Caenorhabditis elegans: one gene and its partner. The protein of the gene in region 2 purifies or fractionates together with the protein of the main gene of each other region. This does not show direct contact. Each region holds a gene or a part of one and is shown on either strand. Other genes may lie near its edges.

Region 1 (5,910 bases), on a different chromosome or scaffold from region 2:
ACGAAGTGAGTCAGAAACAAACAAAAATTCGTCTCATGGATTTATGATCTTCTCTCTGCTTTTTCAGTTCTTTGTTTATTCCTAAACGCTTATAATGCTCCTTCGTCTCATTTCGTGTATTTCATACATAAGTGCATATTGATGTGCAAAGAGTGGGGTTAGCATTCGAAAAAGAACATATAAAGAAGGATTTGGATGAAATGAGCCAAACCCCTCGTAAACCTTCTGCCTAATATATATTCCCATGATTATTCCTATGCAGATTTTAATGTATTTCACATGGCTTCTCGATTCATTTATAACATCTAAATCCAAATCACTACCAAAATGGGGGAAATTATTACACAATGAAAAGTCGCATTTGGATTTGCGATGATGGTGAGGAGAGATGGAATTTATGGTGCATATTGATAAAACTGAAATAAGTTTCGAAATATTTACAGGTACGCAAACATAGATGTGATTAAGGGCAATTTTGGAGAGCAATAAAACGGTGATAAGGGTCATGGAATGGTCAATATTTTAAGAAAGGAACGGAAACTGGGTAAGGAAGTCGAATCATCGTATAATAAACCCGGCACAACATGGAGAAATTGGCACCCGTTGAAGTCTTCTGCATCACTGTTCGTCGGTGCTAGTCACTTTCTTCAAAAATGGATCGTGACGCTTGTACTCGCCTAAAGCTCTCGTCGTTTGCTCATCTGGAGGGAAATCGGATTGTTTGTGGTTGGGTCCGAAATCCATATCGTTTTTCATCGAGCTCTGTAATGATTCGTTATTGTACAAAAAAAAAATATTTCTAGGTTTTTGTAACTTACCACTCCTACAGCATTTTTCAGAATTTCATCCTTGCTAAGCACAGTTGAAGTCTTCATATTCTCGTCAACTCCATTCTGCTGACGCGAGCTGATGATTTCATCTGGATTAAATCGAGCAAATAGTGCTTTAACTTCAACATATTGCGGGTTTCCCATTGCCTGTTTCTCAATATTGTTCCAGATGCGTTCTTTTTCTTCATTCAATGTCTTTTCTTGAACTCGATCTTTCTGATAAGCTTGGGAACACTCGTCAAACAGTTTTTGATTCATTTCCATGAACATCTTGAGGGCGTTGTAGATAAGTCCATGAATCGTTTTATTCCAATGTGACTTGCTGTTTTTGAAAAGAACAGGGAACATTATTGGAATTATCACACGAGCATTGTCCGCTACTAATGACATCACATATTCATTATTCCAATAGTAGAGAGCTCGTTCGGCAACTTGGAAGTGTGGACTGCTGACACAGCGAGCAATTTGTGAGAACAATGGAGTCATGATTTTTTGGAACTCATTCGGCTCTATCACATCGAGGACTTCTTCCAATTCATTCAGGAACATCACTTCCTTGGGACTATGTTGTTTTGGCCAGAAGCGTAGCATCCCACTGATTACAGGCTCTGTCAGTGATGAGTCTTTTTCAATGAACTGTACGACACAGTACGCGAGTTGAGGATGATATACAGATAATGATTTGACCTTGTGTAGCGGAAGAAGAACTCGGAGCAAGAAAGTTTTGTGTTCCTCTTTCAAGGGAAGAGCGAATCCATTGATAATGCTACCTAGAATCTCGAGTAATTCAGCAATCCCGTTGTGCCTCTCAGTTTCGTAGATGAACGAGTAGAAAATGTTGTTGATTTGCTTCCGAATGTAAGCACGATGTCCGAGGAACTTTCCATAAATTCGATGTAAAGTTGTCTTCAGAAAGTCACGTTCACGTGGATCTTCACTGTCCATAATCATGAGAAGACGAAGAATGAAATTTTGATCAATGTAACGTTTTGCAACTTGAGATTGAAAATCGGGGCACTCCAGGAATCTCAGGAAAAACTCGTAGACGAGCTGAAAATATTTACTTTAAATAAGAGCAGAAAATAAATATTACCTGCAGATGTGGCCAGGCAGCTTCTAATGTTGGTTCGTCTTCATCGGGGTCAAATTCAGCACCAATTGGATTGGTCGGTGGGCTCAAAGGACGGAAAAGATTAGTGGAGAACATGCCGATAGCTTCTGGATAGACAGCATCAGATAGCGATCCTTTTGGAGCTCCGGAAACGTGGTCGACGAGTTCATTTAGAGCTGCCCGTTTGACTTCTTTGAATTTTAAATCGCTGAGAGCATCATTGGCAAAGTCAAAAACAACGCAGCATTGTCGAAGTTTTTGAATGAACAGTGTTTCTCTCTCGCTCGGATCCGCATCTAAAAACGAGTTTATCAATACGGTAATTAAAAAAAACATTATTACCTTTGATAGCTGGAAGTCTTTGCAGCTCTCTGTTTTGTGAAATGTTGAACATGCTACTTGATTGGCGGCGCTCTCTTCGCGGTATCACTGGCCCTGAAATTAAATCTGTCTCTATAGTTAATTAGTCTTCGTTTAAACACTAACCTCCTCCGTACGTGTTTGTTCGGCCAATATTTGTTGGTGGTGGTGCATCTGCAGGAATCATATCTCCTAGAAATGATAAATATGAGGGCCGAAAATGGAAAAATCAATGATTGTGATTCAAAAAAAAATTTATCCGAGAGGAGTACACTAGTGGTGGACTAACTATCCCATTTTCGATTTCTGCGGCCTCGTCGAGCATTTACGCGGGAAATTCAAATTCAAATGTACACTACAAAAGTTGTTTCGTGAAGTTGGGGAAATAGCGAAATGTCTAAGCGTTTGTAAGAAAATATCTACTATGAACAAAATAATATTTTCTCCAGAACACTAAAATGTTTTTTTCTTTGGTATGCGCTGCAAAAAGACTACAGGAAAGGCGTAACAAACCAAAAAAACACAATCAAACTAATTGAGCTGGAGTCCTAATCCGTTCCAACTATCCTATTCGAATTATTTCTAATACCTTCTTCCGTGATACAAAATAACGCGAGAAATAGAAGAAGAGTAGGGTAAATTGATGATAGAAAAGAAATCTAAAGGAGCAAGACAGGCGCAGAGAAGAAAGAAGGTCGTTTTTTCTGTGAGAAATAAAGAAAATGGGGGGGGGGGGGCAAAAAGAAGAAGAGTTTGAAGGAGTTTGTGGAAAAGTTGGACATCAATAGTGTGCCTTGAGGGCTCACAGATTTCTTGTTGTTGGTTGGATGGCTTGTTCCTCCCCCATCTAACTGATAAATATTTTCACTCAATATCTTCATAAAATGTAGTGCATTTGATTTCAGATCCGATACATTTCTACTTATTTATACTTTGCATCCATTTCAGTTATTCAAAAAAATGCAAGTGGTCAAAAACCTGCCTACCTCGAGAACTATAAGATGCTGAAAGGGAGGACAGCTTCAAAAATTATTTACTGAAGAAAACTCTAATCAAAACCTTAATCTCGAATCATGTTGTTTTTGTTTCCGAATAGTATATGTTTTCATGATAAAATTCGACACGCCGTAATCTAAACTTTATAGGCTCGCTGTATTGTCTTCACAGGGTCTCACAACGATCTCCGCTCGTTTCGAAGAATTCTCAAAACTCTACGATAGGAACCACTCTTACTCCTAAATGTTCTCAAATAATTTAGACTACTTACTCGTTTTCTGTCGTCTTTTCTTTGATCTCTGTGGCATTTTATTCATTGCTATCTTTGGTTGATGGTTGAAATTACTCGATGGTTAGAAAGAAATGATGAAAAATTATGCTCTCGGAGAACCGTGGAAGAATATAGATTCACGTGAGATTTTATTGAAATTGACTTTTTTAAAATTTTGTGTTATCATCTTTCCCGAATAATCAAAACATTAATTTACCTCCAACATCTTCTGTTCGGATCGTAGGAATTGTAGATGCCTTACTGCTTCCAGCACCGTCATCTTTCATTGATTTCTTATCCTTCTCTTTGTCCTTTTTCTCTGATTTCCCATTTTCCTTGTCCTTCTTCTTTGATCTCAACATTGCGGATGCGGAGCCGACCGCCTGAAATTAACAACATGAAAAATTCAATAAAAGTATGAAGAGACCTTTAAAAAATTAAAAAGAGAATACAAGGGACAACAAACTGAGCAAGTGACCATTTTTCATTGTTTCAAAAGTGGAAAAACGTTGTTGACAAGAGATATTATGTTTTCAAAGCAACGGGGAAAAACTGAGAACACACATGATAACATGCACATATGCACCCAAATCTGTTTTTTAGAAAACTACAGTAACCTATGTAATAAATGCAATCTCAAGCAGTATGATTAACTGTAGGAGAGGAATTAATGGAATGCAAAACCATGGAATTCCATGTGGCTCTAACTAACAAAAAATGACATCACTACATGAATGAGAAAAATCATCTGTCTTTACTTAAAAACCATCGTCACTTCGGAAATCGGAAGACGAAAAATAAAAAGCGCGGAGCAAACGGCGCCGTCCCTCTTCCCACGCTTTGTCGTTTTTTCCTACAGCTCGTCTTCTGCTTTTTCAGCGCAATTTTCGATTAACCAGCCCACTTCTTTTCTCTCGTTTTTTCCTTAAAGATCGAGCTTCATCCTCTTCAATTTCCAATTACTGCTGCTCTTTTGAGAGTAAAAGAGTAGACGATGTCAAGGATCAGATTCTGATGAAAAAAAGAGAGCAGGAAGAATTTGGCAGTCTTACTCGTAAGATACAAATACTTGACATATAAGTATACGAAATATTTTATGGGTTTGCCAAAAGTGAACCCATGAAGCAAAGAAAATAGCGGTCGTGCTGGATTGCTGAAAAACAGGTGAAATTGTGTGGTGCCCCCAACATAGAAACAAGCAATTAGAATTCTGTTGTGGCTCACATATCGCGTGTTTTTTGACAAGCAAAATGAGAAAAGGCGTTTTCGTAAGAAAGCAGAAATAACTGGTGAAAAAACGAGTAATAAATCTAGGAACTTTTTTTAATATATTCTATACGAATATGCAATGAATTGTAGCTGATCACAGACAAAAAATTGATGTACTTTTGTGCACCGAGTTTTTTTTTTCTAGATTTAAGACTTTTTCTGAATTTAACATTCTATTTTTCCTTGAAGGTTCAGTGATCAAGTGATGCCATTGCAAGTAATACGATAAAAAAAATAAATTAGAAAGGATAAAAACGGTCAGAAGCATCGTGCCGTCTTGAATCAAGTTTTAAACTAATTAATTTTCTAAACAAGCTTAAAATGTTTTTATTCATTTTTATCTGGTTATTTGTGTGAACACAGATGATTCACCGCTTGAAAAATACTTATCGACACCAATAATTTAGATGCGTTTGTGTTTTAATATTATAGATTTAGAATTCGAAATATTCATACATGCCCCATTTATAAAGCTTTAAAAGTTGAACCACATCGTACGCTTGTAAACTCCGCCGGCGTCTGCGGAACAAAAAAGTCCAAGAATCGATTGATAAATTTCGAGAGTAATTATATAAATAGAAAACTTAGCCAGCAACTAATTAATGAATAAGTCCCTTCTAACTGTTGGGATTTTTAGGGTATTGTTTTAAACTATCTCTAATTATAATGAACCAATTTTTATCCACTTTTCAATTATATTTAAAAAAACGGGTTTCATCGAAGCTGAAACAAGTAAGACTCTAGAAAAACAAAATATTCAACATTGCCGTTCCTAGACACAAAAACATACATTTTTGTTAGAAATCGTTAAAAACTGACACGTGATGACGGAGGGTGAAACTAGTTGAAGAAATGAAATCTTGTCCCGGGGTCTGGGCGCCAGTATTGGCATCATATTTCTGTTTTGAAAATCAAAGAGCACAAAGGAATTGGCTATTGTGAGTATATGCATGGCATTGAACCAGCGTAAAATCCCAAAGTCCCTTACGTGCGGAAATAATGCTCATCCGTCTTCAATAGTCTATTGGAATATTTCCATGATGACCCGGCTACAGAAAAAATATTCGAATAGA
Region 2 (5,837 bases):
CAATATCAATCTTTTAGATTTTTTGTGTGAAGCATCTCTGAATCAAGAGCATTCTTTGAACTTTAAATTTTACTTGATAACTAATGAGTCCTCCGAGAAAAACATGAAAAACCCTGAAGCGTGCCTACTTGTCCGCCATCGTTGGTGCGTTTCCGAAACTTGTGAAGGCCTGTAGCAATGCGGACGGTGATATTTTCGAATTCAAAAATGGTATCTTATTTAGTTTTTCTCGGAGAACAAAACCTATATGATTATTTGTTTAATGTGTTTTTTGTTTTGGTTTTATGAAGCTTCAAAGTAGTGCGCATAATTATGGCCCACCCTGTATTAAAAAACGGAACTTTTCCAAACAAATCTGAAGCATCTGTTTTAAAATTGAATCCGTGACTACTATTTTGCCTAATGACAGTATTTAAATTTCACAAAAAAGATCTATGAGAAGATATGTATATTTTCAAATCAGTTACCAATCATCTTTTCTTAAATCTATTTCGAACTTTTCTTTTATTCTAGTTCCACTCCAAATCTTAAAGAATCGGCAATTCTTTATCAATCATCCAGACAACAATATAATACTACCCTCTACAAGTATCTGGGTAGACATAATACAAATTCACAAGGAGAAGCGAGTTGAAATATAACAAGAGTGGATAAAGGGTTAATGAACAAGAATAACATACAATATAGTCTACAAGTAATAGATATAAATTGGTACAATCATTGATCTCTGGGTGGGTCAAAAATAGATTCCAGCCAATCCCGTTTTACATTCAAGTATTTGATAGGATCCGATTTCCGAAGATGTGCAAGTAAACACGCATCAGCAATTGCGATGATATTCTTCTGTCCGATACACTCCTTCCACAACATGTAGAGCATATTGGTGGAGTCTGTGGAGCTGCTCGTATCGTCCAGCCGAGCCTGAACAAACGTGGCAGCAATCTCTTGCATAACTGCAAGCTGGTGAGGATTTCCTAAGCAGGCTTCAGCAAAACGGAGGAACCATTTTCTGAACATATTTCGCACAGGTGGAACTCTTGGATCTGAAAAAATTAAAGTTTTCAAGATTAAATATGTCTTATCTTTCTTACCATCGGCATAAGGACCATCCAATCTTGGAATTGTCTCGGTGCAAAAATAATTCAAGTACAGCCATCTTTCAGGTGACATCCCGTGAATATTCAAATTCACTTTCAGGAGTTGTGTCTTTTCTTTGTAGTTAGTATCAATGTAGTCGTTAAAGTCTTGCTGAGCTTCCAGGAATGCTGTCAAGCTTTCAGAAATGCGAGGTGGTGGCGAGGTTGAAGCTGGATCTTGAGTGCAATCTTGAGAAGGATATTCGATCCGATCGGCTGATTCACAAGGAAGTGGAGCCGGATCACTGAAAGAAATTTACTGTACTCAGAAAATAATTTTACAGGATTTGAATCAAGTTTTGAGCTCAATCTTTTCAGCTTGTACATTATTTTCCATATGCTTGATCGATAGCGGATTTATTAACTTGGACCTTACCTGGTGATTTCGAAGGGCCATTTCCCAGCTTGATTGTATACTTCAGCTGCACGAATTTCACAATTGATTCCACTTCTCTTCGGAGTTGGGCAACCATTACAATCCGTGGAAACTGGAATTCCGGTAATGTAAGAGCTGGAAAAGAAAATATGGAAATGTTGTTCGTTTTTTGTAAAGTCATACCTTTCCAGCGCCACAACCTTTGGAGTCAACTTTTGAGCAATTCGCTTTCCTGAAGCTGTTTCTTTTCCAGAAACTGTGACGGAATACATTGGTGATTTTGTAGCTTTAGAATCAACCACGCCAAGTGACTTGTTCAACTTTGAAGACCTGTAAAAAATATAATGAAATAAGAAGCTCCAAGTGTAAAACTAACTTGCTGGATGATGTCAGACATCTTTCTCCGATCAAAGCCTTTGGAGTTGGGATGATTGACGAGGAAGGTGTTCTCTTTACATCCACATTGTTCCGATTGATCTGATCCTTGCTGAAATTTAAATTTTTACTAAAGATTTTACTATTTCACTACATACCTTGAGGAAGCACGATTTGCAGATTTCGGCATCTCAGGGTCCCCATGAAGTAAACGTCTCATTTCCTCAACGTTGGCATCAAAAGTTCCTGTCCACTTTCTTCTTGAGATCTTTGGAGGAGAACTCGGCTGTGGACTTGGCGTGGGTTCCTCGTCTTCTTCAACAGTTTCCAGTGTCACATCAAGACTGGCCAGACGGGAGGCACTACGAGAACTTCCACGGCGCTTGATCGACAGTGAAGTTTTCTTGGGAAGACTCACTGGTAGGGTTTGGTTGTTAGCATCCACAAAACTGGAGTCAAAGTCTTCACCAATTGAGCAATTTAGATCACTTGCTGGTAATGTCCGATTCAAATTGCTGCATTCTCCATGAGAGCTGGAAGGCAAGTGAATCTGTTGTCCGATCTTCATGCTGACAATTTCCAATAACTGTTCAATGGAGAGTTCAGTGCCGTCCTTGCTGAATACATTGGATACCAGGTTACGTTTAGCCGCTTCTTCAGAAGATTTGCATTTTTCAGTCAATTGTTTACTGCCTGCATTCTGCTTTGAATAAGTCGATTGTTGAAGTTTCTTAGTGACTGATCGAGATCTCCGACCACGGGCAGCATCCATGGAATCGTCTATGAACACATCGTCAGTTAATTCATCGTCATTTGTGTTGAAGTAAGTACGATCCTGGAAGTTGCTGCTACCACGTGATTTTTTTCTGTCGTTTCTTGATTTCTGTTGTTGATTTTTCATCGATGAGGTTTCATGTGTAGGAAATCCAGAGAAGCTCTGGTTCAAATTCCGCGACTTAATAGCATCGTGCTTTTGGACAAGACTAGAATTGATAACCTCCTTTCCAGATGCATTTTTATTGTCCTTATGGCCTTTTTTAAAAGCGTGTCCATGAACTCCAGCTTGAGCGTTGAAGCTTTTATTTCCAAGACATTGCTGGTGAACATTGGTTTGTCGCAGTTTCTTAGAATTATTTTCTTGCTTCTGGAACCCAACGGGAACGGAACTCACACTGAATGACTTATTCCCAGCGTGACCATAATTGTTCGAACCATCCGAGAAGCTTAGGCCATGTTGTCCATTCTGACGACTTCTACTACGTCTTGTGTTTGATTGCTGAACGTCGTCCTGATCTGTGGATACTGGGAATCTTCGTTCATACCAGCTGGAGCTATTGCGTGTTTGCAAGTTGCGGCGGAAGTCTGCAGAGAAGACGGGGGCCGTAGGAGGAATACTGTTAAAGGCGTTGCTGCCGTTTCCTTGAGCTGCATGCATCGACTGATTGAATACTCGACCATGTCGAGTCATCGAGTGATTCAGCTGTTGGCCATTCATGAATGTATTCCCGTTGAATGATACGGATCCGTGATGAGATATCCCCGATTTTGCACCATATTCACGGCTTGTTGACTGAGCACTGTCTTGTTTTGCGATCGGATTGAACAATTCGTCAAGAGTGATTTGGTGTTCCATGTTGTTGGATGCACTTTCCTGATTGCTACGACTACTTGAGCGGCGACCTGAATTTACAAATTGAATGAAAAATTGATGCAAAAAACTCTCACCTCCTCTTTTTCTTCTCGAGTTTGGCAGACCGCTTGGGTAAGGTTTTGAGGAACTCATACCTGCAAAAATCAAAACTTAATGAAATATTGAAATAAATGAAATTTAAAAAAATACAACGAAAAAGAAAGACAGAGATGAAAAAATGCAAACCGGTGGGACCACGCAACAAGAATGAACACTTGAGTTAGGGAGATTGAGAGAGTGTGAGAGGTAGAGAAAGAGCGCGCGGAAATAGTGTGTGGCGAGACGGACAGGGGCGATGCGTGCGCGCGGTGAAAAAATAGTTCAAATGCGGCAGGGAATCAACAAAACAACACACACCGTTTGCATGGTATCGATCAGTTTTCAAGACTATCCAAGACTATGGAGTTTTGAGGAACAATTGGATTGATAGTTAATTCTCTAAAATATTGGATAATCACTGAATAATAAATGAGAAGAATAAATTTATAAAAAGAAACAGGATAATAGGCAGTAAAGGAGATGTTAATTAGAAAACCTGTAAGCGAAAAATCAAAACTAAAATAATTTTTTATCTCAAACTTTTTAAAAGAAACGGCGGAACATAATCCTGAATTCCTGAAAACGAGATGTAAAGGGTCGTTAAAATAGCTCCAAAAACGGATTTGTGCAGAGTTTTGAAATTTTTTAAAATTATTTTAATATAGGAATACTAAGTACCTGGAAAGTAATAAAAACTGCTTTATATAGAACATTGAAATCTTTTGTTTTTTAACATAAATTTTAAAAAATGTTTGGATATCCCAAACTAATAAGGATTCTTAACATTATTAATTCATAAAAATATGAAAAAATGTCTATTCAAAGGATTTTTTTTGATCGAAGACTTCTAAAAAGTTACAAAAACTGAGAATCTTCAAGTAGAAATTTGGTATTCCTTGGGACTTCAGATTATTCATATTTTATTTTTCAAATTATTCTCGATGGTTTTTTAATTTAAAAAACAACTCATCGACATTGATGCTTTCAAACAGGATAGATCTAATGTTACTAATTTCCTGCTACTATAGCTACTGCTACATTGTGCACAATGTATGATGTCACACACTTGGAGGATTTATAACCACTTTCTATGTATCGATTATACCATTTAGACGCTCGCCTGCTCCGTTAGTCTGCTCAGTGTTTTTTTTTTTCGATTACATATTTGAGTTACCATTTGGTATGAGCTCCTTTATTTCACAACTCTCCTCATTTATTTGTCTGAGATTTTTTAAACGTCGAGGTATCAGGACCCCGTCAAACAAGGCAAGAACATATGTATTTTACAGTTTTTCGTTTAATTTTATTGATTTTTTAGATTCAACCCTTTCACCTACTTGGTTTACCGTATCCTGCATTTCGGAATATTATACATCAATTGAAGTTGACTGAAGTGTGAGTTGAAGTAGGTTTTAATTATCTAAATGTCTATTGTTTTCAGAATAGAACTATCAAAAAATTCTGGTGAAACCAGATGTAGATTTAAAAAAAATTAATCGAAAAATCTACAAACTTCTTATCGACAACCGTGTTTTCCATGTTGATCTACCACCATTCCGAAATCCTAGTGATTTATTTTCAAGCAAAGTGATTGCTATAGAGACTTCAGAAGACATGTATTATCCTTTTAAGTCTGGTAAACTACTGACTTTAAGATATCCAAACCTTTTTTCAATCAGCATTACCAACTTTTGCATCTCTACGTTTTGGTAATTTTTTGATTTTTCTGCTAGTTTTTTCTCAAACATGTGTGATTTGTTTAGTCTGAATGACCTTAAACATTTGAAAACTTTCAAAAAGTTTTTACCTAACCATGTTTTAACATTTCACGGTAGTTCAAAAATTTTAGACCGGAGGGGTTGCTCAGTCGGTAGTGATGACCAGGCAGTGTACCTGACTCTCAGTTCCGCAGTGCATAGCACTTAAGTCGAGATCGTTTTTTAATCTTCAATTAATATAAACCCCAAGTAAATAAAACTCTACTGAAACAATTCTCATGCATCGCCATATAAAACTGTAATTTTTTCAGTGACTATTCGAAATTTAAAAAATTCAATACAATGAGCTACGACCAACCGAATCAGTTGATCGAAATTTTGAATTCTATTGACCAATTATTTTTTTGTTGAAAACCTCGATTTACTGATCAGCCATGAGAAGTTATTCGGCGATTATCGGCCAACACTAAGTCATCCAATGTTCAATAAATGCAAATGTGTGG

Evidence for each region.
Region 1: the proteins of meg-3 (region 2) and pptr-2 purify together in Caenorhabditis elegans (affinity purification with western blotting, with the first as the bait; one study listed by BioGRID). This does not show direct contact.

Annotation. Positions count from the first base shown.
Region 1 is NC_003283.11:11,026,895-11,032,804, forward strand, and holds pptr-2 (Serine/threonine protein phosphatase 2A regulatory subunit), read right to left. Parts: upstream 3,931-5,910; coding exon 3,786-3,930; intron 3,615-3,785; coding exon of another isoform or gene 3,569-3,614; intron 3,027-3,568; exon of another isoform or gene 2,911-3,026; intron 2,891-2,910; exon of another isoform or gene 2,750-2,890; intron 2,494-2,749; coding exon 2,428-2,493; intron 2,389-2,427; coding exon of another isoform or gene 2,377-2,388; coding exon 2,284-2,376; intron 2,238-2,283; coding exon 1,924-2,237; intron 1,881-1,923; coding exon 819-1,880; intron 763-818; coding exon 619-762; downstream 1-618.
Region 2 is NC_003284.9:1,985,936-1,991,772, forward strand, and holds meg-3 (uncharacterized protein), read right to left. Parts: upstream 3,673-5,837; 5' UTR 3,671-3,672; coding exon 3,613-3,670; intron 3,568-3,612; coding exon 2,046-3,567; intron 2,000-2,045; coding exon 1,889-1,999; intron 1,843-1,888; coding exon 1,696-1,842; intron 1,648-1,695; coding exon 1,513-1,647; intron 1,382-1,512; coding exon 1,092-1,381; intron 1,044-1,091; coding exon 718-1,043; 3' UTR 534-717; downstream 1-533. Other genes in the region: Y40A1A.2 (F-box domain-containing protein), read left to right, coding at 4,799-4,882, 4,935-5,011, 5,058-5,112.